7 separate regions of the Mus musculus genome follow, and regions 1, 2, 4, 5, 6 and 7 are each reported to be linked to region 3. The links are microRNA targets in miRTarBase. Many come from high-throughput screens and were not tested one by one. Region 3 holds a microRNA gene; each other region holds the end of a gene's coding sequence. Distances are from middle to middle.

Region 1 (4,257 bases), 11 Mb from region 3:
AGGGATGCTGGGAGAACCTGGAGGCCAGGTCTGCTTTGGTAAAATACCAAAACCTCAGCCTCTTGTCCTGGGTCTGAAACCCAGTACCTCAAGGCTGTGCTTGAACACTAGGCATTTGTAGACCTCATTTATTTTCCCGCTTATTTCATTCTTACAAAGGCCATGTGAGCTGGGCGTGGTAGCACATGGCTTTAATTCCAGCACTCTGTGGGCACAAGCAGGCTCATCTCTGTGAGTTCCAGGAGAGCTAGGGCTACATAGAGACCTGCCCCACCCTCCGAAAGGGTCCCATGACTGCACAGGACACATTGGCATAATTTCCCCCTCCCCTCCCCGCCCCCCCCCCCCACTCCCGGTCCACTTTCCAGGGTTCACTATATAGCTCTGTAGCTCTCCTGCCCCACAACTGGCTCTGTAGACCAGAGATCGAAGACATTGTCACCACAACTGGCCTGGTATGGGTTCTCAAGAGGATTATATCCCTACAGCGAGTGTGTAGGTGACAGTGACTGCCTTTGTGTCCCCACTTCTCCATGCTCAGGTTTGTCCCAGGCATTCCCCACACCTTCTTTCTTAACTTAATCGAACTGGCACACTCACTGTAACCCTACTTGTGTTCCTCTGGTGGCATTAAAAGATTGCTTCCAGCCGGGCATGGTGGTGCACGCCTTTAATTCCAGCACTTGGGAGGCAGAGGCAGGTGGATTTTTGAGTTCGAGGCCAGCCTGGTCTACAAAGTGAGTTCCAGGACAGCCAGGGCTATACAGAGAAACCCTGTCTGGAAAAACCAAAAAAAAAAAAAAAAAAAAAGATTGCTTCCCTGTCTTTGCTTACTGCAGTATGAATTAGCAGGAAGGGGGTTCGTTGTGTTTCTGTTTTTTGTTTTTTAACCTGCCCTCTCACTCCACTTGATGTGGCTGGCAGTCTCAAGAGTGGGCCCTGGGCCTTCATAGTCTTTAAATGTGGCTAATGTTTTAACAGACTTGGTCACTGAGCCACTTGCTTTGGGACACGGGAAGACCCAAAGGAAGAAATGTTCCAGTTTTGTGCTCAGAGACTCTTAATATCACCCTGCCATGTGACACTAACCTTGGGAAGATGGGGACAAACATGTACTCACTCCAATCAGGAACCAATGACGGATCAAAATAAGCACACCACCCGAGTCCAGTATAGCAGACTGATGAGTTTTATTGGGGTTACAGACAGAAGTATGGGTGAGGGGTTACCGCAGGATCACAAATGACTCGAAAGACAGCGGCACCATGAAAGCTCACCATGTCACAAAAGCTGTAAACTTGAAGCCCTCTGTACAACTTGCAGACAGCTCAACAGGTTAGAGAATGTCTGTTTCAGGCAGCTCAACTTGTCTGAGAGTGCCTCTCAGCAGTCTTCACAGCTAATATACTTGGAAAAGAGGGGGCCTAGTCTGTCTGGTGGGTTTCAGGGAGTCCCTGAACCCTTTGAGTTGAATGGATGTCCTTTTAGAACATCCTGTGTTCCTGGGGAAGAGGTGTTACTGGATCATAGGAAACTAACTCACTCTCTGTCTCTCTCTCTCTCTTCTGGAGAGATGGTTCTAGATCTTGAAGTAGAGAAAAGACTGTGTTTGAGCATGCTAACGACAACCCAGTCAAAATGGAGGATGTTAACATTTGCTGTGAGAATGCCCAGGGTTACAGACTGGCAGCTATGCCTTACTTCTGGGAATCTGAACTCAAGTCCTCATGCTTGGGTAACAAACACTTCACCTTTTGAGCCATTTCCTCAGCCCCTGATTTTGGTTTTGTTCTGAAAACAGAACAAAACAAAACAAAACAGAGCTCACTGCCTAGCCCTGGCTAGAGGATCTCTGAATTCAAGGCTGGGATTAAAGGCCCACACCACAACTAGCTGGCATGTCATTCCTCGCCTCCTTACCCACTGGTGTTTGGCTTTCTATGGTCTAGCTCAGAGCAATATTTACCTCAGGAAGTAAAAAATAAAGTGTAAGTATGTTCAGAGTGTTGAAATGGGCTGGCGAGATGGCTCAGAGGGTAAGAGGATGGACTGCTCTTCCAAAGATCCTGAGTTCAAGTCCCCGCAACTACATGGTGACTCAACTACCGGTAATGAGATCTGACACTCTTCTAGTGTGTCTGAAGTCAGCTACAGTGTACTTACGTATAATAATTATAATAATAAATAAATCTTTGGGCCGGAGTTAGCAGGGACTGAGAACAGGGTTGACTGGAGTGAGTGGAGATTCTATCCCCAACAACCACATGAAGGCTCACAATCTTTTCTTTCTTTTTTTTTTTTTTTTTGGTTTTCCGAGACAGGGTTGAAAGCTCACAATCTTAACATCCATCTTAATATCCCATTAAAATCAAAATATAAGCCGGGCATGGTGGTGCATGCCTTTAATCCCAGCCCTCGGGAGGCAGAGGCAGGCGGATTTCTGAGTTCGAGGCCAGCCTGGTCTACAGAGTGAGTTCCAGGACAGCCAGGGCTACACAGAGAAACCCTGTCTCAAAAAGAAAAAAAATTATAATGAATAAGTATATTTAAAAGTCAAAGTTTAAAAATCAAGCTAGAGACTAGAGAGATGGCTTATCAGTTAAGAGCACTGACTGCTTTTCCAGAGGTTCTGAGTTCAATTCCCAGCAACCACATGGTGGCTCACAACCATCTGTAATGGGATCTGATGCCCTTTCTGATGTGTCTGAAGACAGCTACAGTGTGTGTGTATGTATGTGTGTGTGTGTAAATTCTTTTTAAAAATCCAAGCCAGAAATTGTGGTTCACACCTCATACCTCAGCACTGGGAAGTGGAGACAGGAGGATTGCCATGAGTGTGAGGTCAGTCTTACACAGTGAGTGCTAGGCCAGGCAGTCTTGACAAAATAAAATCGGAATTATTTGGTTAATATTTAGCCATTCACTCATTCCTTCATTTATTTTAAAGCGTATTTTGTGTGCATATGTGTGTGCCTGCGTGTATGTATGCACCACTCATATGCAGGAGCCTTTGGAGGTAAGCAGATGCTTCCAATTCCCTGAAACTGCAGGTATGAAGTTGTGACTCATCATGTGGGTCCTGGGAGCCAATCTAGGTCCTCTGTCCTAATCGCTCTTAAGCACTGAGCTCTCTCCAGCCCCCTAGTCACTCATTTAAAGATGGGCTGTTACATAGCCCAGGCTGGCCTTGAACTCAATCCTCCTACTTCAGTTACTGGGCTTTGGGATCACAACACTACACCAACCTTATCATCTGGCTTTAAATAACATTATTTTAGATCAACTTATTGCCTTTTTAAGATAAGAGTTTCTCTGTAGCCCTGGCTGTCCTGGAACTCTCTCTGTAGACCAGGCTGTCCTCAAAATGCGCAGAGATCCACCTGCTTCTGCCCCCGGAGTGCTGTGATTAAAGGTGTGCCCCACCACCTTCCAGCCCTTGTCTTTGTCTCATTCCCTGCCCTTTCTCTCTCTAGGGCAGATAAATCTCTGTGCTGAGAATTTGGTCTTGGGGGTCCTGAGCCGACTTCAGGGTCCTACCCTAGCTCCAGCTTCCAGCTTCTTTGTTCCCTGTTCCCCTTGTTAGGAGTCTGCTTTTGGTACCCTCCAATGTCCAATCCTACTATTTTTTTTGTTGCCCGCCGCTAATCTGTTTATTGCGATTCCTGGTCTTGGTACTTTTTAAGTGGAGCAGTAGAGATGGTTCTTGAAGTACTGGAGTGCAACCTTGAATTGGATCACAGAATTGGTGTTGGCCCGGTATTTGTCATAAGTCTTCTCCAAGGCAGCCAGCTTTGGATCCTTTGGTGGTGTTCTTACTTGGTGGTTTATAATTACACCCGGGCAAGAGCCCACCAACAGTCTCCCCAGCCCATCAATAAAGAACTCTGCAAAGAGAAGAGGAACGGGAGACAAAAGGAAGCTAAAGACAGACAGCTGTGGTTCCCCACCCACGCCGGACAGGGAGCCCTGGAGCTGAAAGGAAAGAAACAGATAACCTCAGTTTCTCAGATTGGAGAGTGGGCGTCAAGTCCGCTGGGTTCCACTAAATGGGACTGTGGGTTCTGGAGAGGAAGGGGTGAAGGGAGAGGGCAGTCCCTAAGTGCAGTTTTTGGTGGAAAAGACGTTCTGAAAGAAGACTGAAGCTGAGAAAGGTAGAGGGCTGAGCTGCGGGGAAGGACGGAGAAACGTGTCTCAAGTGGGCAGAGGCAGCATAGGGAGACACCGGGAGATGAGGGCGGCAAGAGGGACCATGAGTTC
Region 2 (4,450 bases), not on the chromosome of region 3:
CATATGGTATTCCTAGGGCTACCTTTGCAACAGCCATCAACCTGGAGCCATTACCCATGCACTGGGCCACTGAACTCAGCCACCCAAGAGAAAACGAGGTAATACTGGGGCCCAGGTGCCCTCTCCCTACTGTCTCAAACTGCCTTGAAGCCCAGAGGCCCAGGAAGGACTCACCCCTGGCCTCATCCCAAACTCAAAGTCTTTGAGCGGTTGGCCTTCTTCAGTCAGCCAAGGGAACCCACCATGTCCTTTTACAGTATGGCCGACATAGGACACTGCTACTGTACCCAGAGAAGGGATCTGGTGAAACTTCCAAGGAGAACAAGTCACAGCCACTGTGAGTGCTTTCTGTTGATATAGGAGAGGTCTACAAGTCAGGCAGAGAGAACCAGAAGCTGAACAGCCTTCATTCATTCTAGCAACCCTCGCTACTGAGTAGGGTTCTCTTATCCCTGCTCTGGGCTATCTCAGTTTGAATGGAACACTGGTAATCACTGAAAATGGATGGCTGCTTTGTTAAGTATCTGATAGGTGAAATGGGGTTGGTGACAGTGGGCAGCCTAGTGGCCTCGGCAGCTGTAGATTTGGGCCTCTATACCTGCTGTATACCAGGCAGGCTCTTGAGATAGTACCTCCCAAGAATTGGGGAAGAAAACACTGTGTAGACGAGGGCTCACTGAGCTAGTCAGGGGACTATCCAAGTGCAGATGCTCCGGGGCTCCAGGCAGTGCTATGCTGTCCTAAAACCACGCAGCAAGTATTATGCCTGGCTCGGAGACTGCCCCTCCTACCCTCTCCTCACAGGGCCCTAGACACTGCATCCTGGGCCCAAATCCAGCAGAGGCTGCAGGACTTCTCCCAGGACACTCAGGTAGTAGGGAAGGAGCGGCGGAGACCCCCTACTCTACCTCCTACCATGGCTCATAACTCATGCCTCCACCAGGCAGAGCTAGAACGGGAACGGGCACAGCTGATGGTCCGGGCCACCATGGCAGAGCAGCAGCTTTCTGAGCTACAGGAGTATGTGGACCAGCACTTGGGCAGGTAGGCTGGATGTGGCTCCAGGGTCCTAATCTGGTGGAAAGAAAAGAATCCATGGCCAGACAAGTGATTTATCATTCCAATCAGGTACAAGCAGGAAATCTTGAAACTGAGGAAGTTGGTGAATATTGGAGATCCCCAAGGAGTAGAAGCTGTATCTTCGCCGGGTAGTGGTGGCGCACGACTTTAATCCCAGCACTCCGGAGGCAGAGGCAGAGGCAGGCAGATTTCTGAGTTCGAGGCCAGCCTGGTCTACAGAGTGAGCTCCAGAACAGCCAGGGCTATACAGAGAAACCCTGTCTCAAAAAAAAAAAAAAAAAAAAAAAAAAAGCTGTATCTTCCACTAGGCCTCAGCGCCCAAGGACTCAGAGTCACTAGCTAGTCTCCCAGAAAAATCTCAAAAGAAATCTCTTTACAGCCAGCATGGAACCCTCTGGACACCCTGCCCCAGGAAGTGATTCCTGGAACAAACAAAAGTCAGGATTGAACCCACAGAGTCTTTATTTTATCCAGTCAGCCAGTTTGTCAAACAGGGGCTCTAGGGACTAAGGTAGAACTGGACTCTGGGATGGCCTTGATGGGCACCCCACAAGAAGACACAGTTGGCCCAGAACCATGGACATCATAGGCCCAAACTCTGTCAGTGCCCTCGCCCACCACAGCTACAGGCTGCCAGGTGGGAAGGGGGAATCGTCCAGATACCACACGGGCCCCCACAGGGAGCTCTGCTTGCAGTTTGTCCTCCAGCAGTTGGAGCTGTAGGAAAGAACAGGAGGGAAAAGAACACAGGAGCAGGTCAGAAAAAGCTGCCCCATCCAGCTGAGCCCAGAACATATTCCAGGCCCGAGAGCATCCAAGAGCCAAGACTGTGGCCCTGATCTCCCAGCAGGACAACAGACCCAAAACCTACCACACTGGGAGCCAGGAACACAGACACGTTGTGACAGTCCCTGAGGCTCACCTGTAGAAAACAAGGGTAAAGGCTGGAGGGCATGCAGTCCCCAAGGTAGGGCCTCTAGCCCACCCAGATATCCACATAATAGCCACTCAGAGCATGAAACTTGGGAGATAAAGATATCAGGAGCTGGAGGTGTGCCTCAGGTGGCAGAGTGCTTGCCTAGCATACACATATCCCTGGGTTTAATCTCCAGTTCTGCATAAACTAGGTCTGATGCCTATAATCCAAGGCTAGTTTGAGATAAGCCTGGACACACATCTCAAAAAAAAAAAAAAAATGAAAGGAAGAGGGAGGGTAAAGAAAATCAAGTTTGGAAAGAAAGAGAGTGGGAGGGGGAGGGAGGGGTATCAAGTTTGGTAGGGTACCTTCCAGAGATCTTTTCGATGGTAGCAGACACTCGCAGAACAACCGGCTCTCCAGGCATGCAGCCGTGCAAGTCCCACAAGCCACGGGTTCAGCTCATATCCCATAGCTGGACGGAGACCACATTGGTGGGCCGCCAGCACCTATGGGAGCCAAGAGTGTGGGATCTGGATGAAGGGAATGGGGCCACCACCAGAGGGACAACGAATATATAGACACAGGTCTTACGATCCTGCCATCACCAGAGCCTAGATCCACCATTTTTCCAGGGCGGCCTCGCAACAGTGACAGCACGTTCTCAACCTGCCGGGCACTCGCGCCAACGTAGGGCACCTGAATAAGGAATTTGGTGGGCTGAGGCTAGAAATCACACAGGCAGAAGCACCAGTTTGGGGGCCGATGGGAGCCTACTAGATTTCCTTTCTTAAATTGATACCATCCAGTGAGCCCCGCCCACTCTCCAGTCATAGGCCCGTACCCCCTAAGTAACTCAATCCCAGCTTCATTCATTTAGACTTGGTCTTGACGAAAGACCCAGGCTCCGCAACTTCCTGGTCCCAACTCTCCGTACATCGGGTTCCCGGGTTAGGTCCCGCGCCATAATTGATTCCGCCCATCTTTACGCTACCTACAGTAGCCTTGACCCCACCCATGGAACCTTGGCTTGCACCAGTATTGGCCCCTTTCCTTCCAAGGTTCAACGCTGCACCTGCAGCCTCAGAGGCACCCGGCGGAAGCCCGGCTGCAGCAGCAGCGCCCATATAGTATAGACGGCCAATCCCGAGCCTGCCGCCGCTTGCACTATCTCCAGCAAGCCCAGCCGCTTCTCGCGTAGCTCAGTCAACGCTTCGGCTGGGTCGTCCTGATCCATGATTGACAGACACTCAGTTCCAGGTCCTACTTCCCAAGGCTCCCGGCCGGTAATGGAAGCGGTTGCCCTCCCCGCTGCCCCCAGCCTGAGCCAAACTCTATCCGCTTGCAGCGTACGCCAGCCAACCGCAGCCGCAACTGCAGAAATCTAAGTATCCGCTGCGATCAGTCGCCGGAAGTGGAAGAGGCCTCCGAGGCCAGTCCGACATTCATTCTTTTCCGCCCAGCCATCCGGGGGACCCTCCTTGGGTTCCGGGTGATGGTTTGGGGTAGCGATGACCCAGGCGATGGGCGAGAATGACAGGGTTTGCCACGAGTGGGTCTACGGTCCGAGACATACAGCGGTCAGCTTCAGGGTCCACTTTACAGACAACCACATGGAATGGAATCTGTTCTAAATCCCCCTGAGGCTGTACTGCTGGCCGGCAGCCTCGGGTTATAGCCAGGGTCTATAACTGAAAGGCACTCTCACGCAAATTCTGTTGATCAAGACAAGAAATGACTGAAAGCCTACCAAAAATCCAGAAGCAAACCACAGAGGACGTCCTTCCAGCCGCCCCTCCCCCTCTTCCGCGACAATAATTAGGCGGGAAACAGAGAGTATTCTGGGGTCGAAGGAGAGGGGCGGGCAGCTAGAGACAGATGTTGGCTCTCTAGTGAGTACGGAGGGAGGGGGCCGGATGTGAGCGACTGGGTGCTGGCAAAGGGCCCAGCCTAGGGTGGAAGACAGCCCAGGAGTCCGGAAGATCTCCTTCTTTCAAAAATAAAGGGTTGAGTGACTCTTAGTAAGGCCCTGCATGGAAACAGATAGAGCCTTGAGTCAAGCTGCTGGACCCCGACCACCCACATCAAGGCTAACTGTCTGAGAATGGTAGATCTTCCCTGACTATGCTCACTCATGGCCTCTTCGGCTATCCCTAGCATAGACGGTGATGGCTTCCAAACTGAACATGCCCAATACCACCACCCTATCGCCCAGGCACAGAGTGTTACCCTCCAAAACCATCTGCAGGACAGGTGTCGCAAGACAGCATGTATTCTGTGTACATGTATTCTGCAGAGAGGCTCTGCTCCATCCAGCTCAGAACCTGGCCACCGGAAGATTTATACCAGAGCCCTCCCACACACTGAATTCTAGACAGGGTTGCTTGGACATAGCTATTCCTGTCTGCTGCTCCTGGCAGTACTCTAAGACCAAGAGCACCCAGGAAGCCCTGG
Region 3 (4,450 bases):
CCCAATCCTTCTAGCTGTTAAGCCCATAGTGAACCTAACCCGAAAACTTTACTGTGCTTTTGGTTATGTCGTCTTCCTTGTGACTAGCCTACAAGACCCCTAAAATCCCCTGAAATAATGTGGAGACATTCCTGACTTCCAGGTGTGGCTATAAGCACTCTGGCAAGTCCTCGAGGACTAGGAACCTACAAGGTAATCCTGCACTAAAGACACAGTGCACACAGCTCTTGGGCTAACAGTCTTTCAGCTTCGCACATTTCGGCAGTTGACAACAAAACCAAGAGATGGAATAAAATTTTGATAAAGCAAAAATGTCATTACTTAAAACTGTTTTGCAAAAGAAATCAACATGTATTTATATAGTTACTGTCCTGTAGTTCACTCTTAAGGAAAATAGGCTATTAAATGACTTACTTCCCTGATACTGAAAAATGACAAAGCTTTTATCCAATAAATCTGGAATTATAAAATCCATTGTCTCTAACTTCTTCCCATACAAACAGATCATCCTAAGGGCCTTCTGAGTTCCTCTCCTAAATCCAGGAATGGGAAGTAGTCAACTTTCCTTGTGTAAAAATAAACACCAAAACAAAAATCCCCCCCAAAAACACTATCTAAGCCAAGTTGTACATGACATTATATATGTAAAATAAAGTACAATTTCACTTAATTCAGTCTTCAAATATCTTTTATTGGAAGGCCATGCATTGCCTTCATTTATTGTATTTGAAATCACTGTACAGTTACTTTTGTGAAAACACTGCCTGCATTTTCTAGTACAAAAAAAACCTAAAAATTGTTTCAGGAATGTAGAGAAATATCCAACTTAAATAGCGAAAAAAGTGCACCATAATTACTGCTGCACTGCAGTCATTTCTGCATTTCCCATGTTTCTTAAATAACTATCTTGTCTGATAACACACAATATAAAGAGCAATTATGAAAAACAGACATTTACATATACTTCTAAAGTCTTATTGAGAATACCCTGTTGGCATGGGATAGCCAATCATAGGCGCAGCAGCTGCGGTAGCAGGATATGCATATGCCTGTTGGTTCATACCATTGTGCATATTTGCAACATTACTTCCATATTGCTGAGTGCTATCATAACCGTTCTGGTAAGTCCCTGTTGGATTACCAGTCCTAAAACTGGTCTGTATGCCAGCAGATACAAAATTACTTCCAAAGCTCCCATTGGTGTAATTTGCAGCACTGTAAACACCATTCTGAGTTTTAGCCCCAAAATCTCTCTTAAGCAGATTAGAGTAGCCTCTGTCATAGTTTTCCCTGTCTCTAAAGGTATTAAATCCACCCCTTTTGCCTGCAGAGTATCTGTCACGACGATCGTCCTTCATGCCTCCTCTACCCCTGGAACGACCTGTCAAGAAAGTAAGTGGAAATTGATCAATTTTTATCTGTGGCATAAGTGTGGTAAGATAGGAGAGAGTTAGATAGCTCTATTTATGTTGGGTCTTAAGTGCTTTTAGATTCTTTAGGTTTCAAAATAAGAAGTACTCATTCTTCCGATCCCACTTTGTAGACAAGAGGTAACTGCCACCTACCAGAAACATCTCTTACGAAGATCCTTACCTGAACCTCTGTCTTCGACCAACTGAAGCAACTTGGGATTAATTGCTTGATTAGCTTCCCGAAGCACAGAGATAAGGTCGCTCACTTGCTTTATGTTATTAGGTGTAAAGAAAGTGTATGCTGTGCCTGTTTTGGTACTGCGAGCAGTTCTTCCAATTCGATGAATATAATCCTCTGAGGAGTTAGGGTAGTCATAATTGATGACAAATTTCACATCTTCCACATCTGTAAGGTGTTGCAGTGTGGCAAAATAGCAATGTACGGAGTTTTGCACACCACAACAGCCAGACCAAAAATAAAAAGTTAGACAATTGTATTCCCAAGAAGGTACGGGCTGAAAAAAATACAGTTAAAATGGTTATCCATTTCCTGTAGGAACACCATTGAGGTAGGAAAAAAGGGCAGGGTAGGAAAAAAAAAAAACCAAAACACCCAAAAAACAACAAAAAAATTTGCACATGTCAGCTGTCTTAACACCCACCCACTGACAGCCTATCAAGGGAATGTGTGTTCTCCTTAGCACATTCCCAAATTGACAGTCCCCTTACAGATCATCAAGTGACATCTGAATGCTTCTGCGCAGTAGGGCCAATTAAAAGTTTCTCAGCAATCTCTTCATGTGCTCATTTTTGAGGACCTTTTAACAAAAATGTAAAGGTCCTTTGCATTACACTCATCAGAAGTTCAAAACTCTGGCCACACTGCTTGTCTTGCCAAGACCTTACAACTGCAGCTGCAAGAAAAACATACCTGTCCCCCAAAAGTTGTTTTAATGCACTGTGTCTCGTCTAGGCAAGCGCTTCCAAGAAGCCAGGATTCACTTGAGAATGTGTCTCTCTCTGGCAGGTCTCGACATGACGACTACTGTGTAGGTGAGGGAGGAACTTTCAAGGCACTTTCTTTTCCCACTGACTATGTGTGAGAAGTTGGTCCTGCTCTAGGTCTCATGTGCCAGTACTCACCAATTTGTAAAAGGCTTTTAAAGCTGCTCTCTCCATTTCAAACTTGAACAAAAATTTCATTGAACATTGAAGTTTGGAAATATTTCTTCGACATTTCAGCAAACTCACTGAAACTCAAAGACCCACAGATCACAGTGAACAGTTTGAAACAATGCTGTACCATGGCAATCATGCAAAGCATGGGACAGATGAAATACCACGGCAGTGAACTGTGAGGTAACTTCCATTTTTTTCCCCCGGAGAGAACAGTTTATGGGGCAGAGGTGGTATGTTCTGCCCTTTGAAGATTACTGGCACACTTTCAGCTTTTCACCTCTCTAATCGACTGGAAGCAGCCAGCCGATCACTAGTCCTCCATCCCCCTCGAGTCCTCCGATTGTCATGCCTAGGCCTTGCCACAAAGACTGCACCTTTATGTGAAAAAAACTTAGAAAAAATGCAGGTTAAAGAAAGCAATAAACTTTCTTTAAAAAAAACTACATGGAGATCTTCTGGGAAACCAAGCCATGAATTCGAGTTTGTACTAACCTAGCCCTCTGGAGGCCACATCGGTAGCAATCAGAATAGGAGCTTTTCCATGTTTGAATTCTATAAAGACAACCATGAATAATCATTAATGCAAGCAAATGATGTTATCAAGCTACAAACTAATCTTATTTGAAATACATACCATTTAGAACCCAGTCACGTTCCTGCTGACTCTTGTCACCATGGATGCCCATGGCAGGCCACCTATACCAAGAATTAAATTATCAGTAGTATACCCAACTTAAAACTCTTGTCAAGACTCTACCAATATCTATTCCCACTGTACTTCATCTTGGCCAAGTGTTTTCCCACTAAGCATTGCAACCCAGAGCCTACTACAAGTCACTGGAACGAATCCATACAATTACCCCTATATCACAGCGCATGATTCCCAAAAAACACTAGCCCCAGATCAAAGTACTTTTAAGTCTGCTTTGACTCAGGAAACCACATACCCATCTCTCCTCATTTTTCTGGTAAGTTCATCACATCTTCTTTTGGTTTCAACAAAAACAATAGTTTTATTCTCCTTCTCACTCATGATTTCTTCCATCAGACGAATAAGCCTAAAGATGAAGAAAAACTCACCATTTTTAAAAGGATATAAAAACAAAACCAAACACAACCCTGATTTTTTGCTTAGTGAATCCAAATGTCAAACCCACTAAGCCACCACACATACAGATTTTCAGGTGTATCACTTTATGCGTGCTTGTGTAGTGACTAGGTTCAAAAACTATGAGTGTTTTCCTCATGCAAGCCAAGCAAGTTCTTCATATCACACCAAGCCATATCACCAACAAATGGACTTTTAAAAGAACATATAGCACACTACCTTAATTTTATTTTGAGACAATTTTCAGAATTGATTACTCTTAGTTTATGTAAGATTTTTCTCAATTTGTAAAAATGTAAACTCACTTTTCATCCTTTTCGACATCATGACATACATCCACAATCTGAAGAATGTTATGGTTTGCACTCAGTTCCAGTGCACCAATATTGATATGAATATAGTCTTTCAGGAAATCTTCAGCAAGCTGTCTTACTTCTTTTGGCCAAGTTGCACTCCACATTAGTGTTTGCCTATCAGGCTGAAGATTTAAGGAAGCAAGTTACACTTCAATCTTAAGAGCATTCCTAGAACTGATTTTTATGATAACATAAAGATACTTACTCTTATTTGATCCACAATTTTCCTTATCTGGGGTTCAAATCCCATATCAAGCATCCTATCAGCTTCATCAAGGACAAGGTAAGTTGTTCTTCTCAGATTGGTTTTCCCACACTCTAAAAAGTCAATCAGTCTTCCAGGTGTTGCAATACAGATTTCCACACCTTTAATTAAATAAATAAAAAGGAGTAGA
Region 4 (4,450 bases), not on the chromosome of region 3:
GTTAATAGCACCTTTGAATGCTTCGTCATTTCTATGCTTCTTTGCATTAGAGATCAATGAGAATCAGCAGTGACTTTGAGCAAGGCTTGCATGAATGTAGTATATAAAAAAATAAAATCTTTCAAATTAGCAATAGCTGATTTAGGGTCTTCAATCCTTTTGTTGTTGATATGTTTGTGTGTGTGTATGTGTGTGTGTGTGTGTGTGTGTGTAGGGGTATACGGGTGTGCACTCTTGTGTGTGCATGCATGAAGGCCAGAGTTTGATATCAGGTGTTTCCCTCATCACCCTGCACCTTTCCCTTCTCTTTCTGAACCTAGAGATCACCTACTCACCTCTCAGCTGGCTGGCCAGTGACATCCAGGGATTCACCTGTCTCTGCCTCCCAGCACCAGGATATGAGCCTGAACTGCCTTGCCTAGCTGTTTGCATGGATGCTGGATATCTCCATGCCCTGTTTTATTGTTGTTACCGTTTTGTTCGAGACTGCATCTCTTTTTTTTGTAGTCCAACCTGGACGTGAATAAGTAAGTAACCCTCCTGCCTCAGCCTCACAAATGCTAGGATTACAAACATGTGCTATCAAACTCAAACTCAAACTCAAACTCAAACTCAAACTCAAACTCAGCCTCACAAATGCTAGGATTACAAACATGTGCTATCAAACTCGACCTGGAGGCCTTGCATTACGTGTTTTTTGGTTGGTGGTGTGTGGTAGTGGTGGGTTTTGTTATCCTTGTTGTTGTTGTTTTTGTTTTTTTGTTTTTTTTTTTCTTTTTTCTGTTCTTGCCGCATTTTTAAGGTAAATAAGATATTATGGTTATAATAATCACAATAATCACTCCTAAGTAATTGGTTTCCTCCTTTTTATTCAAGGGCGGATATTTTAACGTGAATCTGAATGAGGAGATTTTGAGAAGAGGCTTGGGCAAAACCGTCCTTGTTAAAGGGCTAAATTATGACTCAAAAACCCACTGGAAAATTCACAGAAACTTACTTAAAGCTGAATTGACGGCCTTAAAGAAAGGAGAAGGAATATGGAAGGAAGAGTCTGAAAAAGAAAGCTATTTTAGAAAATTGAAAGACTCCTGGAGAGAGAGATGGACAAAGGACAATGATTTAAAACCAGCTGGAGCAGACCTCGGCTCCACCAAAGACAGTTATCACGACAGCCGGCGCAGGGCGTCCGGGAAGGGGAAGGACAGCGTGAGCAACTACTCTTTCTTTCTGAAACTCAGAGAATTTGTGAGCCGCTTACACTTTTGGAGGAAAGGATGAAGCGTTGTGAGGTCTGGAGGTAACCCTAGAAGAACGCCATGGAACTGTGTGAGCACTTTTCATTGAGGCAAAATGGAAATTCCCTCAGGGGATCAAAATCCCAGTCTTGCAGTATTTGTACATTAAAACCATTGTTAAGGCCGGGCGTGGTAGCGCACACCTTTAGTCCCAGCACTTGGGAGGCGGAGGCAGGCAGATTTCTGAGTTCGAGGCCAGCCTGGTCTACAGGGTGAGTTCCAGGACAGCCAGGGCTATGCAGAGAAACGCTGTCTCTAAAAAACAAAAAACAAAACAAAACAAAAAAACATTGTTAAAATCAGAATCAATTTGAATAAGTTATGATCAATGTAATATACTTTTAGAAAGTAGTGACACACTGTAAAAAGTTACCCAGTAGAAAGATGTATATATGCAGAACTAATGTTTTGCCTTGTTCTTCTGCCTCCCTGTACCCTAGTGCCAGGGATTGAACTCAGGGCCTCAGGTACTCTGGTCTAGCAGCACATCATTACTGAGCTACATTACCAGCCCTATAGTGCTAATGTCTGAAGAGGAAGTTTAAGTATCGACTGTTATATTAGTTGTCTAGGACAGCCATATTTGACATTTGTTTTTCAGTTTTATCAACTTTATAATAAAGGAATTTAAAAAAACATTCTTTCTGAGATCACTCTTTTTCTCCAGTCATCTTTCTAGCCACTGCTGAGTTAGGACCACTGATCCAAGAGGTAAGACCACCATTTCTCGTAATAAATACAGTTATTTCCATCCGGTAGTTAGATAAGAGGATTTCCCTTAAAACAGAGATGAGGACGGCAGCACAGATGTCAGAAAGGAACGATCTTTAGGACATCGCGGAGCCCCTGAACTCGCCAATTCTCAAACTACCCTGCCTTCTAACTCCTCATTGCATGAGAGAGTATTCTGCCTTGATAGTAAATTTGGAGTTGGGCATGGTAGCATGCACCTGTAATCCCAGCACTTGGTAAGTAGGGACTGGAAGATAAGGAGTTCAAGGCCACCCTTGGTTCATACAGAATTCAAGACCAGTTTGAGCTAATTAATATGAGACACTATCTAAAAATCAGAAATATCAAAAGCAAAACCACCCCCAAACCACTTTAATGTATATATTAAAATCTTCCTGACAATGTAAGCCTCTTTCACAAGGCCAACAGTATTTGCTAACTGTTGGGACTTGATCTAATAATGGAGTCCTTCAAGGGGAATTCAGAATGCTTGTGCGAAATCTCCAAGAAAACAAGACAAGAGTCTTGTGACCTAAGTTTCTCCAAAAGCAAAATTGTTTTTGAAATGTGCTTTCGTGCCCTTCCCAGGCATAGCAGATAGGAGTGAGCTTACTCCAGAGTATTCATTACAGCTGGATATTGTTACTTGTTTATATGCCTCTTTGGAAAAACATGTTTTTACCACATGTCCTTGTGATTGTACACTTTACTCAGGTGACTTCTCTTAACCTTCAGAGTTAATGCTCTGAATAAATTTGGCTATTGCATAAGATTTTGGTCTGCCTCATTTTTAGGCCACACTATTCCAGGTTGGCACCGCCAACTAGAGTGGCTAACATCCTCAAAAATCTATATAAAAAGGGAGTTTTTGTTTGGTTTTTTGTTTGTTTGGTTTTTTTTTTTTGTTTTGTTTTGTTTTGTGGTTTTGATAGAGTCTCATTACAAGGCTCTCACTGGCCTGGAACTCACTATGTAGACCAAGCTAGCTTTAAACTCATAGAGATCTCGCTTTGCCTCTGCCTCTGCCTCTGCCTCTGCACCCTAAATGCTACCATGCCAAGCCAAGAAGAATTTTTTTAAAAATGTGATACCAAGAAAAGTCAGACCTAGCAGGTCACTTTCCTATTGCCTTGACAGTTGGGGTCCAAGAGTCACCCCACAAACCACACAAACACTGATCTTAGTCAGACATGGATGGTTTATTGAACACACACCCTAAGACTGATCTATTAGAGAGCCATAGCTTAGAATTTGTGAGCTGGGGTTATGACCCCAAACATTTTTCTATGTCAGCTTATAAAGGCGAAAACTGAAAAAAAAAAAAAAAAAAAAAAAAAACCCCACAGTGAGCTCATACACAAGTACTGGAAGTAATGCCCAGTGGTCAGCCCTGACTTAAGCCATTTTAGATATAACAGATCATATTGACCTTTAATTTTATGGGTCCTACCTGAAGCTTATAGTTGTGAAATTGTTTAAGATTAACAAACCTCATAAAATACAGGACATAACAGAGTATGTGGTCAGCATTACTCTGCTCTGACTTAAGTTGGCAGGCATATTACAGCAACAATATGAAATAGCTGGCAGACATGGAACAAAATGGCTCTCAACACTGACAACATATCATGACCAAGGTAACTTTATAAAAGAAACCACTTAATTTGGGGTTCATGGTTCTAAATGGTTAGAGTCCATGACCGTCATGGTGGGGGCATGGCAGCTGGCAGACAGTCATAGTCCTGGAGCAGTAGCTGGGAGCTTACATTTTGATCCACAATCACAAGGCAAAAGAGCTAAGTGGGAATGGCAAGGGTTTTTGAAACCTCAAAGCCTGACCCCAGTGGCACACCTCCTCCAACAAAGCCACACCTTCTAATGGTTCCCCAAAGAGTTCAACCAACTGTGGACCAAGTATTCAAACATATGAGCCTATGGGGATGATTCTCATTCAAACCAGCACAGAGTCTATGCTGTGCATTTAGCATTAGTAGCTGCTGGACTTCTTGTTAAAACCTAAGAAGAGGATTCTGAGCCTTTAGACATTAAGCACTATCACTTTTCATTGAGTTTGGAAGCCTCTAAATGTATTTTTGCATCTTTACCTTTTTTTTTTTTTTTTTGGAGTAGGATGCTATATTGTAGTTTTTGTTTCCTGCTCCTAATACCTCAATAACTTGTCTTGTTTTTACAGAAAAGTTAACATTTAAGTTCTTGCACTTTATTGTTTTCCATTGCACTGGCTGGTTCTGTGTGTCAACTTGACATAGGCTGGGGTTATCACAGAGAAAGGAGCTTCAGTTGGGGAAATGCCTCCATGAGATCCAGCTGTAAGGCACTTTCTCAATTAGTGATCAAGGGGGAAAGGCCCCTTGTGGGTGGGACCATCTCTGGGCTGGTAGTCTTGGTTCTATAAGAGAGCA
Region 5 (4,450 bases), not on the chromosome of region 3:
AGATAAAAATCATATGCCATGACTGTAAGATCATTTCTTTTTAGAAATGTCTATTCTGTTTTCTCTCATATCACCTTGCAGCTGATTTTCAAGGAGTATGGCAAAGAATCAGGAAGCTGCCATAAGGCAGAAAGATCAGAAAACCAGTGTACATCCTGAACTACGGGCTGAGCTCAGTAACACGGCTGTTGTGAGCGAGGTGAATTGCTGCAGCCGTGTAAGCTGCAGTAATTAAAGCTATAACAAGTGAAAACAGCTCACTGTGACACTGCACTCTCTAAAGTCCTGTGAAGCAATGACTGAAACCAAGGGCACATCATGCCACTGCTGGGAAGTTAAATCCACTGGAGATTTTGAAAAAAATGAGCAAAAGCTTCAATGTGAAATAAAATCTTCGATGACTGAAGACATACAAAGACAGGTTCTCTGAATGCAGGAGGTCCAAGGGAGTAAGAGTTCAGCCTGCCTGACCCCAATCCAGAATTACACAAGATTTTATAAGAAAATGCACAGGAGAGTATATATAATTTGAAACTTTATTTTCTATGCTATGCACATGCATTTTGCTTGCATGCTTGCATGTATGTATGTGCAACATGTGTTGTGTCTGGTACCCATGGGGCCAGAAGAGGGCACTAGATCCCCATAACTGGAGTTACAGGCAGTTGTGAGCCATCATGTGGGTGCTGGGAACTGAACCCCGGTTCTCTGCAAGATCAAAAAGTGCTTTTTAACTCCTGAACCATCTCTTTAGCCACACATGCCATTTTTAACCATATAAAAATAATATTAAATTGCAAACACAACTTCTTGAAAGTATCTGTCAATCTTGGGACACAAAATAGTAAAAATATAGTTTATAATTTTTACCTTTTTTTTTTTTAAAGATAAGGTCTCACCTATATAGTCCAGGCTTGATCAAACTTGCTATCCTCCTGCCTCAGCTATCTTGACTAACCTAAATTTAGAAGGCATATAAAATAAAAATTATACAAGCTAAGAAGACAAATAGTAAAGGTAAACCTTTTTTTTTAATATTCAAAATTAGGATATTCCCTCTAAAGGCCTTTAGTTATTCTATCATCATAAAAATCATCAGAAATATGTGTAGAACCCTCAGTTGTAGCATTTCTGTGCCCTCTGAGCCAGTCGATTACTGCCTTTCCTCAGCCCCATCTGACGAGGCCTGTGCTACAGAAGCCTGTCTGTCTACGGATGGCACAGAGGACAGGATACCTCAGTTGAGTCGGACTCTTCCATTTAAAAGTTCTTGTTTCAGAAGTCCCCTCCCGCTGTTTCTCTGTTGAATAGCTAAAGCTCTTTAGGAAGGAGCCACACCTCACCTTGAAAGCATCTGTGCTAGAGACAAGGCTATTGCTCAGTACAACGGAAACTCAACTTGTGAAGTGGGGAGTGCTTTTGTGTTCACTGCTTTAAGACAATCTTGTCATTCGGGTCTGATTTAAAGCTGAGCTTTAATTTTTTTTTTTTTTTTTTGGTTAGTTGGTTTTTTTTCAAGACAGGGTTTCTCTGTGTAGCCCTGGCTGTCCTGGAACACACTCTGTAGACCAGGCTAGCCTCAAACTCAGAAATCTGCCTGCCTCTGCCTCCCGAGTGCTGGGATTAAAGATGTGCACCACCAGTGCCTGGCGAGCTTTAGTTTTTAATATCATGTTCCACTAAAGTGCTTTATTAACCCTGACGGCAGGCATTTGTGGTTCATATATGCCATGCTGTGTGAATGATCAGTGCTGTAGCACAGAAAATTACCACCTTGCTATTTGTCTTTTATGATCTGTAAGAAATGAGAAAGGACAATGTACAGTCTTTGCTACGTTTTAATAATAATAGGTTTTAAGGAATTAATTTTTATGTCTAGTCAGCAATATCAAACAAAATGTACTGAGTACTCCCCAGGTACAGAGTACTGCCAAGTACCTTAGACCCTTCCATGACAGCTACAACTCTTGCCCCAGGAGCTTACAGCCTGGGGACCTACAACTCAAAGCCTGAGTGGGAGAGTGAGCTAATTTAAGGCAAAAATCTCCTCCCCCTAGAGCTATTATAGATGGGATGATTTTAGCAGTTGGAACTACCCAATCAAGATTAATTTGGTTGTGGATTTTTTTTCAGGTTGAACCTGAAATACAGTTTTTATTAAGCTCCATCTAGTAAACAGTGGCCTAGTAGGTGCTGAATGAAAGCCAAGACTAGATCTCTTGAAGGACAAGTTTAAGACATCTTCCTTGTGGTTATTTACTTGAAAAAGCAAGTATATTGAATGGTGTGGTGAGGTCACTGACATGTGAATATTAAAGTATATGGCATGTCTAACCCACAGAAAGCCCCTCATGAGTCCTAATGCTCTGTGTAACAACCATCCATCATGTGCTTTCAAAGTTTTATTTATGCCTTGTTACACCAAAAGTAAATAGTCCATTCAAAATAAACTAGTGACCTGCATATTTTCATATGGATGAATGACTGTATATCTAAATAGGAAATAAATGGCAATCCTATCTACCTATATTAAAAAAAAATAGACAGTCTTTCCAGATTTTTGCATACTAAGGAGAGGTACGGGGTCTTAAGGTCTCACAACGGGTGGTCAGGAAAGCAGCAGTTATCCCGCAACATCTTGACATCTGACTCAACTGTTCCTAAATGATACAGTTTAAAAGATACTGTAAACACATTTTCAAATCCATAGTTATTCTGAGATGGTTCCAACGTTAACCCTAGAACTACCAGAAAGAATTAGCAGTACAATAGAGAAGAGCAGATAATCCACCTGACGATACACGTGCTCTCTTCAGGAAATCAGTCTGGTCATCCGGGGAACACTCAGGGTGGGATGCTCATCTGGCCAGGTCACACTTTCTATGCAGGAGACCCATGGCACCAGGCTAGGTCTCTTCTAAGGAGACTTTGCTAGGCAATGTAACTAGTCCAGTTCCTCTCAGAGCAGTTCTACCCACTTCAACTCACAGCGTGGCATTGAAACCAGAAGAGCATACTGGAGCAGAAGTGAGCAGAGACGTAGACTCTTGCACATTCTTATTGCTGCATTGTCTGAAGTTCTGCACATCTACAACAGTGCTGTCCGGGAAACAGGGGAGTAGAGGCAATGAGAAAATAGACTATTCATTGCACAATTAATAGAAAAGTGAAAACGTTTCCAAATCTACAATAAACCTGTATCCAAAGGAGTGATAGGTCAGTGATGTGCTGAACTTTTGTTCTGGGGTCCGGCTGTGCAATAGACTCGCTTGGTCAGCTGGCGTGGGTAGGGCTCACTTCCTGCCTGTTGAAGGGCTCACTTCCTGCCTGTTGAAGGGTGATTATGCTACTCAGAGCTATGATGGGTTCTGAGTGGTAAAATTCACACAAGTTCTTGGTTATTTGTATCAGGATCATTCCTTGTGCAAACTTTGATGTAGATGAAGATAAAGTGGTTTCTTGGTCAACAATTGCAATTTCTTTCTTTTAAAGTCAGTGGGTTTCTTGTATCTGAAAGCACAAAAGAAAGATTATTGTTTAAAATATTCTGCTTGATTGACCCCTAAGTTCCATTCATTTGCTATGCCCAAAACTTACAGTTCTATTACGATTGGCCCAGGTTTAATTTCATCCATCTCCATGAAGGCAAAACACTTAGTGCTGGTAAACCTCTTTTTAGGCTTGTAATGTTTGAATTCAAAGAAAATGGCCGCACCTAAGAAATTAAAAGACATATAAACCACGGGCAGCACCTTCTGTGTTAATTAGCTTTCTTTACTCACCAGAAACAAAGTAACCTGTTAAATACAGTCTGTCGAGGTGTGACCACTGGCTGCTAGGGACACCACCACAATCTGCTGTATTTCTCTGTAATTCTACAAAGTCTAGCAAACCTTCCTGAGCAAGACTGACTCAAGACTAAATCACTAAGGAATATCGAGTAGGGTAAGATTGCTCAGTGGTTAGAGCACTTGTCATGCAAGTATGAGGACTGGAGTCCAGATTACAGAACCCATTTGACAGGTGGCCATGGTGGCCTGCCTGCAATTCCAGCTTTGAATGGAGAGACAAAACTCCTAGAGCAAAATGGTTAGGAAGACTAGCTGTGTCAGTGAGCTCTGAGTTCAACTGAGAAATGTGTCTCAATGAATAAGAAAGAGTAATTGAAGAATACTTCCACTGGCAGTCTTGGCCCTCCATATACATGTGCACACAAGTATAGGTGTACCTGCATATACATGTGAACCCACACATACAAACTCATGTACACCACTGTGCTAGATAGTTTTATGTTAGCTTGATGAAGTCATCAGAGAAGGGAACCTCAAAAAAGGAAATGTCTCCATAAGAATTTTTCGAGACAGGGTTTCTCTGTGTAGCCCTGGCTGTCCTGAAACTCACTCTGTAGACCAGGCTGGCCTTGAACTCAGAAATCCGCCTGCCTCTGCCT
Region 6 (4,450 bases), not on the chromosome of region 3:
CTATCATTTCAAGAGCCTTTACCCACTCGTGGCCCCTAGTGGAATTTTTAAAAAACACACAAACAAGGTGTCTTTGGCCAGGAATGATAAAAAGCTGGGAGATTATACATACTTATAATTCCAATACCTGGGAAGCTGAGGCAGGCCTGGCCTGGGTTACATACTGAGTTCTTGATCAGTGTGGGCTGCACAGGAAGACCTTGTCAAAGGAAACAAACATTAACCAAAAGGCCAAACAGACATAGCAGATGTCAAACTCAGCATGTATTTGAAAGAGTAACTCAGTATACTTTTAGTGTGTTTTTTGGTATTGACATACTTCATACATATCATGATTTGGGATACTGTGATTTTTTTTTTAGGCACACTTAAAATGAATTTTTGATATCCTGTTTCCAAAAAATTAATTCTTCTCTATTCTTTTAAGGCTACGCAGATATAAAGTTCTAGGGAGTAGTAACTCTGACTCAGACCTTTTCTCTCGCCTGGCCCAAATTCTTCAAAATGGATCTCAGAAATCCCGGAGTACTACCCAATGCAAGAGCCCAGGATCTCCTCACAATCCAAAAACACCACCCAAGAGTCCAGTTGTACCTCGAAGGAGTCCCAGTGCCTCTCCTCGAAGCTCATCCTTGCCTCGAACATCTAGTTCCTCACCATCTAGGGCTGGACGGCCCCACCATGACCAGAGGAGTTCTTCCCCACATCTGGGGAGAAGCAAGTCACCCCCTAGCCACTCAGGATCATCGTCCTCCAGGAGGTCCTGCCAACAGGAGCATTGCAAACCCAGCAAGAATGGCCCAAAAGGATCTGGCAGCCTCCACCACCACTCAACCAGCTCTAAAACTCCCCCAGGGAAGAGTAAGCCAGCCAGTAAACTCAGCAGATAGGAAGTGAGCAGGCTACATCTCTGGGAAAGGCGTGAGATCTTCTTCCTCCTAGACCTGATGCATGTGTGTCCCTGTACTGTCTGTTTCAAACAATCAGTGTTGATCTTCTCTTGCAAAAGAAAGTAACATGATCAGTTCTTTATAAGAAGACCTAAGTATAACTAGCTAGGGCAGGTAGAAGCACATCAGGAGTCCGTGCCTCTGCACAGGAAGCGTCAGTCCAGCAGTGTCCGAGGGGAAGAAACTCAGGCCTGAGCTCTTGTTTATAGCTGCCTTTGAAACAGAAAATTGAGGATAGGAAATAGAATGGGATTTTAGGTGATTTTGCCTAATTTGTTAATCTTCTACTCAAAAAGTATATAGCAAAATTGTTTGATATTTTTATTTAAAACTTCCTAACCTTGGAGAGTCATTGCGCAGACATTCAAATATAAGAAGCTTGTTGCCAGGAAACCATTACCTGGGTATATTTGGTTTGTGTGTTTATTTAGTGAATCTACACCTTTCTTTCCACTCATTCCTAGTATCTTCCCTGAATTTTACATTTTTTAAAATTAATGTTTTTACCTCTTATTTTTAACAATACACCCTAATGTGTGTTTTCATCAGCATAGGATAATCCAATTACCTTTATTTAGTCAAACCTTGCTATTTTCGTTTGAGCAACAGTTCTTATTCTTAACTCCTATATTTTTATCTCAAAAATGAAAGAAATGTCTATCTAGAGCTATTTTGGGCAAAAGTATCTGGAGAGGGACAGAGTGGGACAATGGCTTTCAAAGGTACAAGCACCTTTCCCCTGACTGCACTTCCTCCTCTCAGGAGCCTGCGGAGGAGACAGCTTCCCTGGGTTCTTTCTAGTGTCAGCCTTCAGGGTGATCTAGGAAAGAATAACACTTCGGAATGTGGCTTATACTTTTAGAGATTTAGAAAGAAAATATGTTACTAAGGCTTACAATCAGATTTTGTATTTTATACATTTAGCCAATAAGGAATGAATATCTGGGAAATAAATTTAGACTAAATAGTTTTCTTTCAATGTTTTTATTACCTGGTTCTTGTGTTGTTTAATGCTTGGGCTTCTTAGCCTGACTTCCACATTTATAAGAAGACGTAAGTATAACTAGCTAGGGCAGGTAGGAAGCACATGAGGAGTCCGTGCCTCTGCACAGGAAGCGTCAGTCCAGCACAGTCCAAGGGGAAGAAACTCAGGCCTGAATTCTTGTTTATAGCTGCTGTTGACATCTAAATTTCAGTTTATAAAGCTGTAAGGATGATCATATTCGTTCTAATCTTACTCTCTTACTAGCAGAAATCAGGCAAATTAAAGACACCAGACTTTTTAAGTGGACTATTTGATGCTCTGTGGGTGTATAAAAATCTTATTGAGGTCAGGGAAATTGATCTGCCTGCTGTTGAAATCTGCCTTCTAACAAACATCTACTTTTTGACTTTGTATTGCTGCCAAACCTGTAACTGTTGAATTTCAGGAGTGGGGTGGAAAAGGAAACGTGTTTCTTCACTAAGTGAGCATGTTCCAGGGGTGCATCCCAGCTGCCCAGGCACTAAACTAACTTAGCTTGTTCTGTGTTGAGCGTTTTCAAACTTGGGACACTACACTGAGACATAAGGTCTCCCATGAGAAATGGGGCATAGTGTGGAATCTTAATTTCTGTCCAGGTTCAGGCACTTGAGAGCAGTGCAGTAGGTAAGGCGCATTTGTTGTTTATCTATTACAGCTGTAATACTGGAGACTGATCCTTATGTATTATATTGTATAACAGTTACTGCAGTACTGCTTGCATGTCTTTCATGGTAAATTATATAAATATTTATAAATATAGAAGAGACATATGCTTATATAAATCCATTTTTTTCTCATTCTGCATTTGTAATTTCAAGATTATAGATGATAAAATTCCTTTTCTATTGTGTGCTTCATGTACACTTGGGCATTGCCTGTCTTCATTTTCTGAACACATGTTCTTGGCATGTGGTCCCTAAGAGTAGTCCTGCCTTCCGGGTGCACACTGAAGCAGCTGGCACTTGTTACCAAGCCAAGGTGTAAGGTACTTAATTTTCACTTAAAAAGTATTTTAATAGGGGAAAATTTTAACAAGATATGCTTGTAATACAGGCTCAAAGATTACTCATGTTAGCCACATAGTTCTGTCCATATGGTTAGAGTGGATAGATGGGCATTATAATTATGCAGCTGACATCAACTGTTTTTTAAAACATTTCCTGAAAGTTGCCTCTTCCATGTCACTTTTTTGAAGGGAAGTGGGGATGGGATGTAGGGTAACTAAAATTCTTTCTGTTACATTAGCTAAATGATGCTAAAAGTAGCCGGCTTTCTTGCTGTCCTCTCTAGTCAAACATGTGCTAATAGTAACTGGGAAAGCTAACAGGGCCCAGCCTTTTTCTTTGTGAATTTCTCTGCTGGCAGTCATGCTGACAGAGATGCTTTCTGTCTGTCTTTCAGTGTGTTGCCTCCTTTTCTGCATGCCGTTCACAAACTCATCAAAATCCAGAGACAAAACGCCTCATTATGTGAGAATGTTTTATTTTGTATGTAGGGAAAAGAACCAACCAAAGATGTTTCTGCTCTGAAGAAAAGGAAATGGACTAATTAATTATATCGTATGTATCAGTAGTTACATTTATTATTAAGTGCTGTCCTGATACAGAGATGAAAAAGTAGAACCTGGTGTGATGGCACACACTTTGATCCTAGCACTCTGGAGGAAGGGGCAAGTGGATTTCTGAGTTTGAGGCCAGCCTGGTCTACAGAGTGAGTTCCAGCACAGCTAGGGCCACACAGAGAAACCCTGTCTTAAAAAAACAAACAAAAGATTAAAAAACATAGTTTGTGCTTTTACATGTTACATTTCTTTCAGGTTAAAAATAAAAATTGGCAGTCTTAAGCCAGCTCTTCACTCAGGAGTATGATCTAGAGAATCAAGCTTTCGGTTTGGTTTGGGTTTTCAGTTCTTTGAGGTTTTTATTGATGGCATATTTCATATTTCAGTCACAAATCATCCAAATAAGGTAAAGAACATGACTGTAGCCATAATAGAAGTAGGGTGTGACAGAAATTATCTTTTGGGAGACAAGTACCTCCTGGCTTCTATCTACACAGGTTACTAACTCAGGCCTGTCCTGTGCTTATTTCAGTGGAGCAAAGAATGAACACTTAGTTCCTAATTTTAGGTAATGTTGCCCCCAAATTATACTACTGACCCGTAGGCTTTGTGAATTGCTTGAAATATTAAAATCATACCTCGTAATCTTGCACATCCTAAAGATATCTTGACTTTAATGGATAGTGAAAACAGGAGGGAATTGTATCCTATCTGATTCAGCATTAAGATAGAGATCTTAAAACATCTAGGCAAGCTGGGCGTGGTGGCGCACGCCTTTAATCCCAGCACTCTAGAGGCAGAGGCAGGTGGATTTCTGAGTTAGAGGCCAGCCTGGTCTACAAAGTGAGTTCCAGGACAGCCAGGGTTATACAGAGAAACCCTGGCTACAAAAACAAAAACACAAACAAACAAAAC
Region 7 (4,421 bases), not on the chromosome of region 3:
TAGTGCCCCACTGAAGCCATAAGAGTGTAGGTTCAGTGAGAGATACTGTCTCAAAAATTTGGATTTTTGATTTCTTAAACACACACACAAATATAAGGTTTTTTTTTTTTTTTTAATCCCAGGTGTGGGGTACATGGGACTTCAGCAGATGACTATGATTTGCCTTGCTCTCTGGTTGGAGGTTGGGGGTCGGGGGAGGAAACAGGATTTGCCAACTGCAGATAGTTTCTGCAATTGTGTGACATTTTGGAATTTTGAGGACTTGAGGGTATATAAATGCTAGGGCCTTGAGGGTGGGTGGGTGGGTGGGTGGTGGTGGTGGTTATGATTATTATTGGTGGTGGTAGTGGGCTGTTGGTCACAGTTTGTTAAGTAGTCATGCACAAAGAAGAAACACCAACAAGAAGAAATTAGATATCCTGACAGTGAGGATCAAACTTACATCATGGAACTCAGTGACCCTACTCAGCAGGAAGTAGTCTAAGGATAACATTGCCCCCTTTTTTACCCCTGATTTTACTAAGGGATCTGTTTCCTTTCTATCCTTTCTTCCTTTTATCTAGTGTTAGAGGATTGAACAGGTAGAAGAAAGGGGATGGAGAAGGGTAAAAGAAAGAAGAACCCACAATGTAGCAAATGCCAGCTAAATAAGAGTGCATCAGATCCCCTGGGACCTGAGTTATAGATGGTTGTGAGCTACCATCCAAGTGGCTAGAAATCAAGCCCATATCCTCTAGAATAACAATCAGTGCTCTTAGCCTCTGGATCATCTCTCCGGTCCTAAAACCATATGTAATTCTTAAAGGTTATGTACTGTTCTAGACCCTGCAAATAAAAAGATACATTTCATATGCATAGTGCTAGTGTTCCTAGGGCATATTGTCAAGCAGAGAAGCAAATAAACTGTTGGGTACATTTTGAAATCTTCATAGAAGAGATAATGTTGGATATGGATTCCCAAAGAATGATTGTCCTAACCCAAGAATCAGGAAGAATAAGTCCACATGTTGACATGGCCACAGGAACTATTTGTATTGCTTTTTATACATGTACCTTGATTAGATAATAGCACCAGCCAGGGATGTGGTCAGGAGGTCTGTGACATCTAGAGGAATGCCTGCTTCTAGGTCTAGGGAGGCATCTCTCAAGAGAGACCTATACACATAAAACTAACAACTGGCCTTGTATGAGGGCAGCTTCCCTGCTTCTGCTTCTAATCCAGCCTCCAAGTCCAAAGTAGAGGTAGGTTTCCAAAATGGTGTTTCTATGCTTTCTTTGCAAGACAAGAGACAGAGAATTCTTGGGGTTGGTCATTTCCGTCTTTTATTAGTCAGCTTTCAAGTTGTGATGTTCCTAATAATTTATCAAAGTGTGGTATACAGACCCACAGCCTTACTTTCAAATTGCTGATCTTGAAAATTCTTGACTCCACCCGAGACCTGCTCAATCAGACCAGTGTCCATTATAAAGAGTCTTTAGTACCATTTTGATAGATTCTTGGTAAGTTAGTTGATCAAATAAACTCTTTGCCTCTTATAGCCACACTTCCATGAGCCTCAACTTCCTGGACTGACCCCTAAAGTCAACTTCAACTTTCATGTGATAATCTCCTCTGTGTTACTGAGCTCCTCTGAGTCTTATTACTGTACCCTTTCCTAGCAATTGACCTTTCTTTTCCACATTTACTGTATCATTAATGGGGGTAGGCAGTAATGTGTATGCCAGTGACACAGTACAGACTTGTAAAGAGCAGAGAGACAGTACAGAGAATCTGGTATGGTGATCTGACCCTTTAGAAAAGATCTAATATTAGCAGTTGTCCATGACTGCTGTACCTTTCATTCTGAGCACAGAATGGTGGATGGTTCTATGTTAATGCATAAGAGCCATGCAAGGGATGTTTTGTACTCCATGTGCACTTCACCCAGATTATGAAACCTGACTAAACCATCTCTATAAAGTACATAAAAAGTAAGTTATGTTGTGGATTTTGAGTACCTTTTCTTTTTTTTAAGGCATTTTTTATTAGATATTTTCTTCATTTACATTTCTGAGGGTTGCTGGGTAGTTCATATTGTTGTTCCTGCTATAGGGTTGCAGACCCTTTTAGCTCCTTGGGTACTTTCTCTGGCTCCTTCATTAGGGGCCCTGTGTTTCATCCAATAGATGACTGTGAGCATCTGCTTCTGTATTTGCCAGGCACACAATTTGCAAAACACATGAAACTCAAGAAGAAGGAAGACCAAAGTGTGGATACTTCACTGCTTCTTAGAATGGGGAACAAAATACTCATGGAAGGAGTTACAGAGACAAATTTCAGAGCTGTGATGGAAGGAAAGACCATCCAGAGACTGCCCCACCCAGGGATCCATCCCATATACAACCACCAAACCCAGACACTATTGCATATACTAGCAAGATTTGGCTGACAGGACCCCGACATAGCTCTCTCTCTTGTGAGTACCATTTCTTCTTTCATTGTCTTTAGCTCTTCAGGACTATGTAAAATAACCACCACTAGGTCCCTCTATCACTACTTATTCCTCTTCCCAACACATAAGTGTGTTTGCTTCTATGTTCAGCCCATCAAAAAGACCTATAGATACAGCTTCATTAATGAAGATATTTAGAGAATACATTTTTATACAATTGTAATATGTATAGGAAACCCTAATTTAAGAGATTAGAATTGACTAAGCATGAGTTGACCAACAGGTTGCCATGAAGGCTCTTTCATCAAACATCTCTTTGGGAAGTACATTCTAGATCCAGCAATCACCTCCAAAGCAGAATTATTTTCAATGTCTTTCTCAGGTCATTTCCAGAGTACCTAGAAGCCTTGAAGAATTTAATCCTTGAACAAGCTTCTGTCTTCTCTCTCAATAGGGAATGGTGTCTTTGTGTTGTGTGTGTACATGTGTATGCATATTTAGGGCAGAAGTCAGTATCAGAGGATCTGCCTAGTCACTCTCCACCTTAAATTTTTAAGACCATTTCTCTCAGTGAACCTAGAGAAAACATAATTGGCTAAACTGGTTGAACTACAATTCCCATGGATCCTCTTGTCTTTATCTCCCAACTCTGGGGTTATAGGAATGTGCTTCTTGCACTGTTTTGTTGTTGCTGCTGCTGTTGTTGTTGTTGTTTCTTGATGCTGGTTGATCAATCTCAGGCCCTCATGCTTCTTCGTCATCTGAACCATCTTTTTCACCCCAGGCACGGTGACTTAAACTTACTTTGGCTTAGACATTTCCTTGAACAGGCCTATGGAACACAGGGACATGTGGGACATAGTCTTTGTTTTTGCCTCAATGTTACCTTATGCTTTAAGACACAGGCACAGTTCTAGAAAGAAAACTATTCTAGAACTCAAAGGGGAAAAGCACCATGAAATTGTGTCTCCCACTTGCTTCAGGAAAGACAGTCTTGAATTTGGGTTCACTCTCAATGAGTTCTATCCTTTCCTCCTGTCACTGTAGCTGAGTGCTACCACTGGCAACTTAACCCAAAGTAAACATGTGTGACATTAGCTTAAAAAAACTGTCTCCTGTGCAAAAAGTTCAAGGTAAGTCAAGCAACTTTCAAAGACACACTGGTATAACATGGTACTCTGGGTAGGAAACCAAAGGCCCATGCTCTGGGTGAGTCTGGTGCTATGCTGTGAGCAAGGAGGTTTGAGTGAGGCATGCACACTTTATGAAATGGGACATTGGTGACTCATGTCTGGATGGGTTGGTGACTTGCATTCAAACTGAGTGTTCATTTTTGTTTGTTTGTTTGTTTGTTTTTTCGAGACAGGGTTTCTCTGTGTAGCTCTGGCTGTCCTGGAACTCACTTTATAGACCAAGCTGGCCTCGAACTCAGAAATCCTCCCATCTGTGCATCCCAGGTGCTGGTATTAAAGGCGAGCTCCACCACCGCCTGGCTCTGAGTGTTCATTTGAAATACCTCCTTGCCAAGAAATAGCAGTCCTTGCTCTTATCACGGAGTCCTGTATGAGTTCATTTCAGAATGGCAAAATGCCATCAAAACGTGGAATTTCCCATGACTTCAAATCCAACCTCTTCCACACAATGTACAACTTCAATTTTGGTTTCATTCGAAGGTTTCTGCAAAACAAAGCAACTTCCTTACAGGTCTTTTAGGGAACATTTCATCTTTGATTTCTTTTTTTCTTTCTTTTCTTTTCTTTTTTTCTTTTTTTTTCTTTTGTTTTTTTCACAGTTGGTTTGAAGTAACTTTTAAAGAACAGTAGTCTGTTTAGAAACTAGGAAAAGTCAAGTGGGAAGAAGAAACTGTAGCTATAAACTTATCTCCTAAATATACCCTATTCCATTTTCTCAGCCTTTCTTGAAGCATAAAGCTTTCTTTTACAATTGTGATGAAGTAACAGGGACACACAGATTTATTTTTATAAAATG

What was found. Region 3 holds the annotated microRNA mmu-miR-3064-5p (UCUGGCUGUUGUGGUGUGCAAA, at 1,861-1,882, opposite strand). A microRNA usually pairs through its seed, bases 2 to 8, with sites in the 3' UTR of a target mRNA and lowers its output. Matches are read on the target gene's strand: a 7mer-m8 pairs with bases 2 to 8, a 7mer-A1 pairs with bases 2 to 7 and ends in A, and an 8mer does both.
Region 1: miRTarBase lists B4galnt2 as a target of mmu-miR-3064-5p. Seed matches in the 3' UTR shown: 7mer-m8 at 3,321-3,327 and 7mer-A1 at 3,253-3,259.
Region 2: miRTarBase lists Ccdc78 as a target of mmu-miR-3064-5p. Seed matches in the 3' UTR shown: 7mer-m8 at 1,314-1,320 and 7mer-m8 at 1,457-1,463.
Region 4: miRTarBase lists E130311K13Rik as a target of mmu-miR-3064-5p. Seed matches in the 3' UTR shown: 7mer-m8 at 1,521-1,527.
Region 5: the mRNA of Aida is a reported target of mmu-miR-3064-5p. Seed matches in the 3' UTR shown: 7mer-m8 at 1,541-1,547.
Region 6: the mRNA of Ttbk2 is a reported target of mmu-miR-3064-5p. Seed matches in the 3' UTR shown: 7mer-m8 at 4,392-4,398.
Region 7: miRTarBase lists Il5ra as a target of mmu-miR-3064-5p. Seed matches in the 3' UTR shown: 8mer at 3,815-3,822 and 7mer-A1 at 2,127-2,133.

Annotation. Positions count from the first base shown.
Region 1 is chr11:95,862,393-95,866,649 of GRCm38, forward strand. B4galnt2 (beta-1,4-N-acetyl-galactosaminyl transferase 2) reads right to left here. Exons shown (of 11, transcript NM_008081.3): 11 at 1,167-3,884. The coding sequence ends at 3,679. Among named protein-coding and RNA genes, the nearest start is that of n-TQttg6, 5.3 kb to the left of the region's middle.
Region 2 is chr17:25,788,982-25,793,431 of GRCm38, forward strand. It overlaps Ccdc78 (coiled-coil domain containing 78), which reads left to right. Exons shown (of 13, transcript NM_001165929.1): 9 at 17-98; 10 at 258-337; 11 at 805-871; 12 at 944-1,044; 13 at 1,129-1,532. The coding sequence ends at 1,231. It overlaps Antkmt (adenine nucleotide translocase lysine methyltransferase), which reads right to left and starts at 3,413. Exons shown (of 5, transcript NM_145410.4): 1 at 3,072-3,413; 2 at 2,591-2,695; 3 at 2,365-2,505; 4 at 1,952-2,002; 5 at 1,519-1,797. The coding sequence starts at 3,233. The coding sequence ends at 1,567.
Region 3 is chr11:106,780,876-106,785,325 of GRCm38, forward strand. It overlaps Mir3064 (microRNA 3064), which reads right to left and starts at 1,884; the gene lies at 1,818-1,884. It overlaps Ddx5 (DEAD box helicase 5), which reads right to left. Exons shown (of 13, transcript NM_007840.3): 7 at 4,261-4,421; 8 at 4,005-4,177; 9 at 3,539-3,649; 10 at 3,226-3,287; 11 at 3,084-3,143; 12 at 1,594-1,818; 13 at 1-1,381. The coding sequence ends at 975.
Region 4 is chr3:63,912,165-63,916,614 of GRCm38, reverse strand. It overlaps E130311K13Rik (RIKEN cDNA E130311K13 gene), which reads left to right. Exons shown (of 5, transcript NM_177856.5): 5 at 877-1,924. The coding sequence ends at 1,278. Among named protein-coding and RNA genes, the nearest start is that of Plch1, 15 kb to the right of the region's middle.
Region 5 is chr1:183,321,549-183,325,998 of GRCm38, reverse strand. Aida (axin interactor, dorsalization associated) reads right to left here. Exons shown (of 10, transcript NM_181732.4): 9 at 3,598-3,715; 10 at 1,498-3,510. The coding sequence ends at 3,414. Among named protein-coding and RNA genes, the nearest start is that of Gm34102, 22 kb to the left of the region's middle.
Region 6 is chr2:120,736,172-120,740,621 of GRCm38, reverse strand. Ttbk2 (tau tubulin kinase 2) reads left to right here. Exons shown (of 16, transcript NM_001024856.2): 16 at 428-4,450. The coding sequence ends at 890. Among named protein-coding and RNA genes, the nearest start is that of Cdan1, 6.9 kb to the right of the region's middle.
Region 7 is chr6:106,708,357-106,712,777 of GRCm38, forward strand. It overlaps Il5ra (interleukin 5 receptor, alpha), which reads right to left. Exons shown (of 13, transcript NM_008370.2): 13 at 2,019-4,109. The coding sequence ends at 4,026. Among named protein-coding and RNA genes, the nearest start is that of Il5ra, 38 kb to the right of the region's middle.